2 linked regions of the Schizosaccharomyces pombe genome follow. The protein of the gene in region 2 interacts with the protein of the main gene of each other region in a biochemical or structural test. Each region holds a gene or a part of one and is shown on either strand. Other genes may lie near its edges.

The links.
Region 1: the proteins of php4 (region 2) and grx4 form a complex in vitro, tested with the Schizosaccharomyces pombe proteins (one study listed by BioGRID).

What each region holds. Positions count from the first base shown.
Region 1 is NC_003423.3:3,955,611-3,959,306, reverse strand, and holds grx4 (CIA machinery monothiol glutaredoxin Grx4), read right to left. Parts: upstream 1,924-3,696; 5' UTR 1,804-1,923; coding exon 1,069-1,803; 3' UTR 828-1,068; downstream 1-827. Other genes in the region: pph3 (serine/threonine protein phosphatase), read left to right, coding at 3,378-3,447, 3,563-3,696. UniProt on the Schizosaccharomyces pombe protein: Monothiol glutaredoxin involved in the biogenesis of iron-sulfur clusters. Binds one iron-sulfur cluster per dimer. The iron-sulfur cluster is bound between subunits, and is complexed by a bound glutathione and a cysteine residue from each subunit.
Region 2 is NC_003423.3:1,914,577-1,918,801, reverse strand, and holds php4 (CCAAT-binding factor complex repressor Php4), read left to right. Parts: upstream 1-1,909; 5' UTR 1,910-2,064; coding exon 2,065-2,952; 3' UTR 2,953-3,427; downstream 3,428-4,225. Other genes in the region: SPOM_SPBC16E9.02C (CUE domain protein ), read left to right, coding at 1-641. UniProt on the Schizosaccharomyces pombe protein: Component of the transcription regulatory CCAAT-binding complex. Required for the reprogramming of the cell for iron use. Down-regulates pcl1, sdh4, and isa1 underlow-iron conditions.

The sequences.
Region 1 (3,696 bases), 2.0 Mb from region 2:
TTGCATTATAAATTTATACCGTTGGTTTTCGTATCCCTAAATTTGTTAAGAACCTAAAGTTTGACAACACACTAAAAAGGTTTTCGTAATTTACGATGTAAAGGTGTGGAAAATTTTTTAGAAGGTAGCACCAATATTATTGGCTGCTTTTGCAAAGCCAAGTGACTGCTTTTTTTCAAATACTTACTATAAAAAGGCATCGTCCGCGATTTTGAAGACCATCGACGATACTCCATAGGATCATTTCTATAGTATACGTCCGGCTTGGGTTTCCTAACCTAGCCACAGAACTCAACACGGATGATGATAGAAGGCACCGTTGCCCGCAGAGTGAGAATTTTTACTTCTTTGAGGATGTGCTGATCGATTTGGCTTTTTGCTTAATTGTTGTGCTATCTTTATTTGCGATGATCTCTTACATGATATGTTCCTTTTGGTCGTGTCATGTAGGGCAGCTGGTGTTTTCTGACGTGTTTTCTGTACATTTCTTTGTAACAATTGTCGTGAATCGTTTGTGAGAATTGTTATAACTTGATGTGCATAGTCAAAAAGTGTGTAGATGATGAGCTAAGCAGTATTCGGTTTTCATGTAATATGTGAGCAGTAGGCATTGTTCGTGAATGAGAATCTGTTGTTTTTAAGTTGTGAAATAAAATGTAGAGAAAGGTGTAGTAGTCGATTAGTTCTTTTGTGTGGATACTGGCGCAGTTGTATTGCATACTCTAATTGTTTATTTTTTCTGAAATTTGGGGGTACTGCTAAATGGTAAAGTGTACGAAGTAATAGTTGCAATGGTAGTTCTGGCTCCTTTGTGTATTCTTAATTAACCTGGTTGCTTATTATGCGTTATTTACTTGCTTAAACTCATTTTATGTTATATAGTTTTATTAACATTTGTTTTGATAAGTTGAGGCGGTTAGTTAACAAAATTAAATTAACAGAAAACTAAATCTGCAATCGTATTATTATCTGATTATCCAATTTAAAAGTTATCTTTCACAAAATCATCAACATAAAAGAATGATTAAGGATATTAAAAGTACAATTCTTCATATGCACAGATAACAATTAATTGGGAAGCATCTCTTGCAATTCACCATTTTCAATCATCTCCGAAACAATATCTAAACCACCGACGAATTCACCTTTAATGTACAATTGAGGGAAAGTTGGCCAATCGGAAAACACTTTAAGACCTTGGCGTACAGAATCATCAGCCAATATGTTAAAAAATCCATACTGAACGTTTTGCTCACGAAGTAATCCAACGAGCTTACGACTAAAACCACATGCAGGTTCTGAAGGAGTACCCTTTAAAAAGAGCATAACATTGTGAGCATTTGTTAGCGTGCTCAACCTTTCATTTAGTTCAGAATCCAACCCATTTGGAGCTTTAGAGGTATTGGAAGTAGTGTTGGTAGTCTGAACGGAATTTACTTGAGTTTCCACGGACGCGTTGGTAGAGGATATTTGGGAGATAAGGGGTTGAATATACTCGTCAATAGCAGCCTTCAATTTTTGAGGATTTGCCCCCGAAATTCTAGCCAAAACTTTTGCTCCGTGGATTAAAACAAATAGAGGAACAGCGTTTACATCAAACGACTCTGCTATATCGGAAAATTTTTCAGCTTCAATTTTTAAGAAAACGGCATTTTTCGTGTCCTTTGCAAATTGATCAAAGACTTGGTTCATTTGCTTGCATGGAGCAGCCCATGGTGCATAAAAATTGAGTAAAATTATTTGCTCTTTTCCATTTTGCAATATCTCTTGAAATTGTTCAACAAAAGTAATTTCGACGCTCATTTCCAATCAAAATAGCACAGCTTGAGGAATTATTTCTTTTCCTACTTTTTTTTTCAAAAACCTAGTTTATTCTTTTTAATCAACAATCAACGCCCTATTTTTTCCTAGTTGGTTGTCGGCAGGTTCGGCTGAGCAGTGTAGAAAACGTATCTAGTAAAATCTCTTCCTTGCACAATAGGCGACGCAAATGATATAATTGCAGCAAAAAACATATCCAAGTAAATTACTCGAAATTTTTTAGTTAAACCACTTTTGATGTACGTTTTGATGATTCTTCTTCACTTTTTTCATTGTCTATTCATTAAACGGCATTCTCGATCTCATTTTTTTAATTACCATCGTGACTGATCAGATAACTTTATCCCTCGGTATTAAAACGTCTGGAAAATAATTTTTTCGGCAAAAAAAACTAGTGTGTTGCGCTTATACTCCGATTCTACGTAATACCCAAACAATTCTGTTAACATTTTATTTTTGTATGTTGTACATAAAATTAACAGTCGCTTTACTAGCCAAATGAGTTTATAACAAGCGACCAAAACAACCAAGATGAGATATGTTTCATACTTGATAAAAACAACAGCATACACATTGATTGATATAGTTAAAGTATTAAAAAATTGCATTGTACTGCTCAGGGCAAGCATTTCTTACACACCTCATTCTTTTGATAGTACGCAAATTGCAGTAAACCATATTGAAAGATAGAAAGAATATATTTCTAAAATCTTTTTAGTTATTTGAACATCTTGAGTTGCCGACTGAACATAAGTAAAGAATAGTATGCAAATTATGTTAAAGCTTCACATAAATTATGGGTTTGCAACACGAATTGACTATACAGTTTTTCTATATTGAGTGTATATTCCGCCACAGGGGTACGCCTTCAGCATACAGATTATTTTACCTATAATTGTGAGTGTTATCTGATTTTTACCAAGAAGCTATAGTGTTATGTAGTTTATTTCACAAAAACCCTATAACATCAAAGCTGCGCATTTGTGCGAACAATTTAGATCCGTTAGAACTATAGGAGTTTTTCTTATAATCTAGATATATATATGAGTAGGTGCACGTTCTTGTATTAGCGTTATAAAAACTCAAGATCAATGATAATACGGCATGCTATAATAATCATACTGGAGTAGCATGCAACTTAATTAAAAGATTCTAGTTCATCATTAATTTTAAGTATAAATGATTAAAAAAAAACAATCTAATACAAAAACTTGTGTCCATTTCATTTCGAGATGAAAGCACTAATAATGGTGGAGCAACCGTATTTTTCTGAAAAACAATCTAGCGTAACGCAACGTATGTGTCAATAAAATTCGGAAGCTGCTAATTAAGGAGGTCATGTTAATTATTTTAAAAGTCATTATCAAAAGGAAAACCGAATTTTAGTCACCAAAGCTCTACGCGTCATACCTCTTGACAGAGGTATTTTGACTTATTTAAAATTAAATTTCTTAAATGATACATAAAGTTGAAAAAGAATTTCACTTGTTTATTTTCTTATTCTAAAGGACCAAGTTATTCTAGTTTTCTTTACTTTATGTTTTGACGAGTTCAAAATGACTGATTTAGATTTGGATTGGCAACTTGAGGAACTGGAGAACGGAAGGTTAATTCCAGAATCAAATGGTATGTATAATAGTATTTATAGAATAACTTTTATCTCCGTCGATATAACAACGATCATTCATATTGGTTGTTCTTTGCCATAATTATAAGAATGGGGTCTAACGTTTTGTGGTAGTTGTTGAACTTTGTCAGCGTGTAAGAGATATTTTAATTGAGGAATCTAACATACAATGGATCTCATCTCCTGTAACCATTTGTGGTGATATCCATGGCCAATTGCATGATTTACTGGAGCTTTTTCGAATTGGT
Region 2 (4,225 bases):
CCAATGCTAAATCCAAGGTACTAACATCTGAGCCAAAGGACTCTACCTCTGTTGAAGCCGAAAAAACCGAAACTGATGAGCCTGCTGTTGGTAAAGGAGCATCCGATGTGTCTGATACAGCTGAAATTTCTGAGAAAACTGAAGCCAAGAATGCTGATTCGGAAGCCAATTTAGAAGAGAAATCTGACGTTGGGGAAGAAAAGGAGAGTAAGGACGAAAATAACAAAGCTAGTCTTCATAAGGATGTTGAGGAGAAAGATACAAAGATAACAAATGAAGACACTGGTAAAACGGAGACCGATGTCAAAGCCAAGGAGACTGATAGTATAGAGGCCAATGACAAGGATGAAAAGACCGATAGCAAAGAAACTGAGGACAAGGTCGAAGAAACTGAAAGTAAAGAGGCCGATGTCAAGGCTAAGGAGACTGATAGTATAGAGGTCGATGACAAGGAGGAAAAGACCGATAGCAAAGAAACTGCGGACAAAGTCGAACAGACTGACAGTAAGGACACTAACGAGAAGCCTGCGAAGGATGATAATAAAGAGGCAAATGAAAAGGCTGAAAAAGTTGACAGCAAAGATGTTAAGGAAAAGATCGAGGAGGCTGCTGATCTACAAAATTCGGGAAAAGAGACTTAAGGGAAAGAACAACAAGGCACATCATGATAGGTTCAAGAGTTGTAATCAGCTAATGGTACTATATATGCCTTGAGTATTCAGGGTACGAGTAGCTTGAAGATTTAAATTTTGCTATTTTCGGTGTTCCTCAGCTTTACAGTAAATGTTTTAGCGCTGTTTCGATTTTTCTTATAAGTAATGTTTTTTCGAGCTCTTTTGTTTCATATTTTTATAATTGAATTATTAATAATCAATTAAATTTTTCACGACAATCGCAATCCCGTTGATGAATTTGCAAAGTAACTTTAATTTAAGATTGTGCTTGAAGTTTTATCGAAACCATTTGGATAAACTGAGTAGCTAAGTATCCATACATTCACTCCATCCTTGCGTGCATAGCAACCTTTATTCTTTTTACCACTACTGTACATGAGACATATGATGCTTACAAAAAAATGATATTCATTGAGAAGGCACGAAACAACGTGAATTATTAAAACAACGTATTTTAACTACAACAATAACTGAATACAACATAAATCAAACTAAAAAATGATATAAAATATAAAAACTGTACGTAGCATTCGGTCATCACGAGCCATGGCACGAAGCAACGACTTCACGATGGTTTTAAGCTATGCTGTCGGTCTCCCCGACATAATCTATACCGATTCCATGAAGAGGAAAAAGCTGCAACCATTAATACGGTTCTATATTATAACCGCGTTAGAAGAGAGCAGACTTTTTGACATCAGTAATTCATTATTTTGTGAGATGAAGCTTTGTTTTAACTCACTCACATTTCTTATATACTAGGAGTCAAAAAACAGTCACATGTGTTAGTGCACTTTCGTTTCATCTCATTATATCAAAAATATAAACAAATGTTAAATAATCTTCAAAGGACGGTATGACATGAGAAAAGCAGTGAGTCAGAACATTAATTTAACTCCAAAAAAGTAACATGGATAAGCATTACTATGATAGTTGGTGTGCCGAATGATTGTAGTATTACATAGCCAGAGCCCAGAGTTTATTAGGTCGATCGGTTTTAATCAGATGATGTCCACCATACCCGCGTTTTTTAATTGGTTCTGTAACTGAAATGATGGGTATTGAGAATGTATGTCAACAGCGCCTCTAAGCCGACCTGTTCACTAATCCGTTTTTTCCCGAAAATTGAGTCTTTAAAGATATAACGAGGTGTTGCATACCGGGTTAACAGTACAATCATCGAACCACACGGCACTTAGATCAGATATAATTTAATCGTATCTCTTTATCAGATTAAAACAAACCACCAACGACAAACGTTTGAAAAAGTGAGATTTTTAAGCTTGGTCAGTAGAGGCATTGGAGTATTGGAAAATAAAGATTTATATATTTTGCTAAAAGTGTAGTTCTGTACTTGATATCTCCTATCCCCCCAACTTTTTTTTTGCTCATGGAATCGTCTAAAAGTCCATCGGAAGTGGAAAAATCATCTTCTGCTTCTCCAGCACCTCAAAAGCCGATGATTCGCGTCTCTAAACAATGGGTTGTTCCTCCTCGTCCCAAACCAGGAAGGAAACCTGCGTTAGATGCTCTGGGAAGAAGAAAGGCACCTATTAAACCAAGACCTGGGCCGACTTCAGCTTTGTCGGTCGAGGAAGCCAAATTCCGTGTTCGTGAAAAACAATATCAGGATACGATCGGAAAGTTACAGAAGGAGAACAACGAGCTGCTTGAGCAGTTGGAGATGCTGCAGGCTCAGTTGAAGAATTCTACTTTGGATAGCCCCAAGGAAGTCGAAGTAAACTCTGAAGTTGTCAAGCCAGATTCTGCGACTACTGAGAATGAAAACCGTTATGTAAATCAGTACAATTATCCGGTCGAGCCGCCCTGTGCTAAGAATGCCGTTTATACAGAGATTCCCATTGAGCTAGATCCTCATGCCTTCTTGGGTGATTCGGCCAAGAGAATTCGTGTGGATAGTGACAGTAAAGATGCAAAGTCCGTTCCATCCGAAAATGGAAGAATTCGTGTATCTATGTCTCCCCAAAACGAAATTAATTTTACACCTGAAAACCCAGCAGTAATGGAGAAGATACGTAAACGTGGTGTTTGCAATAGTGTAGAAGGATGTTTGTACTCTGGAAGCCCTAAATCTGTTAAACGTGTCCGTGAATCCGAGGAAACCAAGGTTTATGCTCAACTACTTATTGACTTACACAAGTCCTCGAAGTCTGCTCCGATGTTAAAGGCAGGTCCTTCAATCGCCTTCAAACTTCCTACCATGGAACCAAATTTTAACGATGTTCGTCCCGTCACTTCCATATCCTCTTCTTCCTAAGTTTCCCAAAAGTTTTTGTCATCTCTCATCTCCTCTTGTTATTGCATCTCAGCAGCGACTTTTCTGTTTGTAAGTGATCTCCATTACCTTTTTCCATGGTACGGAATTTTTATTTTCGGACTTAATTATCTTGCTTCATACTATTTTATTCGTTGTGCATTTTCGTTCTTTTTGGATTTCTTTCTGTTAATACTAACGTTCACTACTGGTATTTGAACCAATACATTCAGAAATATTACAACATTTTATTTTTCGTGTTCTTGGTATTTGTTTTAAGAGTGTGTTTTTTTTTTACTCACTAGACTGGCTGTACGTCGTAAAGTATGTTTCCTTGACATATTCTAGTCTAGATCGCTTTGTTCATTACATTGCTTCCTTTTCTGTTATATATGTTAATTTCACTATATGTTTTGTTTTTATATATTTTCTGATTTGTATAGAAAAGAATAAATCTTTGTTATATTTTTACTCAAAATGTTCATAGCAAACATTTGACTTTACAAACTGCTAAGCAGTGTTTTTAATAAATTTAATGCTAAAGCCTTCACTGTGTTTATTATGGCTTATGTTTGAAGCTTCGTATTTCCAAATTTAAAAAGTGAATAATCTAACAATGTTAATATGCTAGTCAATTTTTTTTAACAGTGTGGTGTACCACTAGAATTTCTTCGTTTTGCAATTGCCCTGGTTGAAAGAAAACTTGCTAGAGCACCGAAGTTCTTGTGTACGGTAATCTTTTGGTGAGACCAATCCACTTTCGCATTCAAGTAGAAAGAGTTGTAGTGTCCTAAGGATCTTATATGTCTTTCTTTCAGCGTCATAATCAACTCATGGTTTTTTCAATTCAATTCAATCATATAAAATAGGTAAATTGCTAAAATTGATTAATTTCATTTTGTAAATTTGAAGAGGATATAAAACAGTGTGCGCTATTTCCCCTAATGATCATTTAATAAGTAGTTACAATTTTATATGAAATCCAAAATTACATATCGTCAATTACGATTAAAAATCGTTCTTTGTGATGTGCTTACAATTGAGCTTTTATTCATAACTTTTTTTCAAAACAAGTATTATGCATGTTAACTGTAATTGCATCAAAAACTATATTGTGCTGCCAATTTTAACCAAAATCCTATATGACTATCCTGGATGCATGATTTTTTTCGTAGAATTCTCTATTGTCAATTAGGGTGCATTCACCCCAATTATAGAACATCAAATTATAATTCAACTTTAAAAACTTTTATTTCATGTATTACTATATACTCTT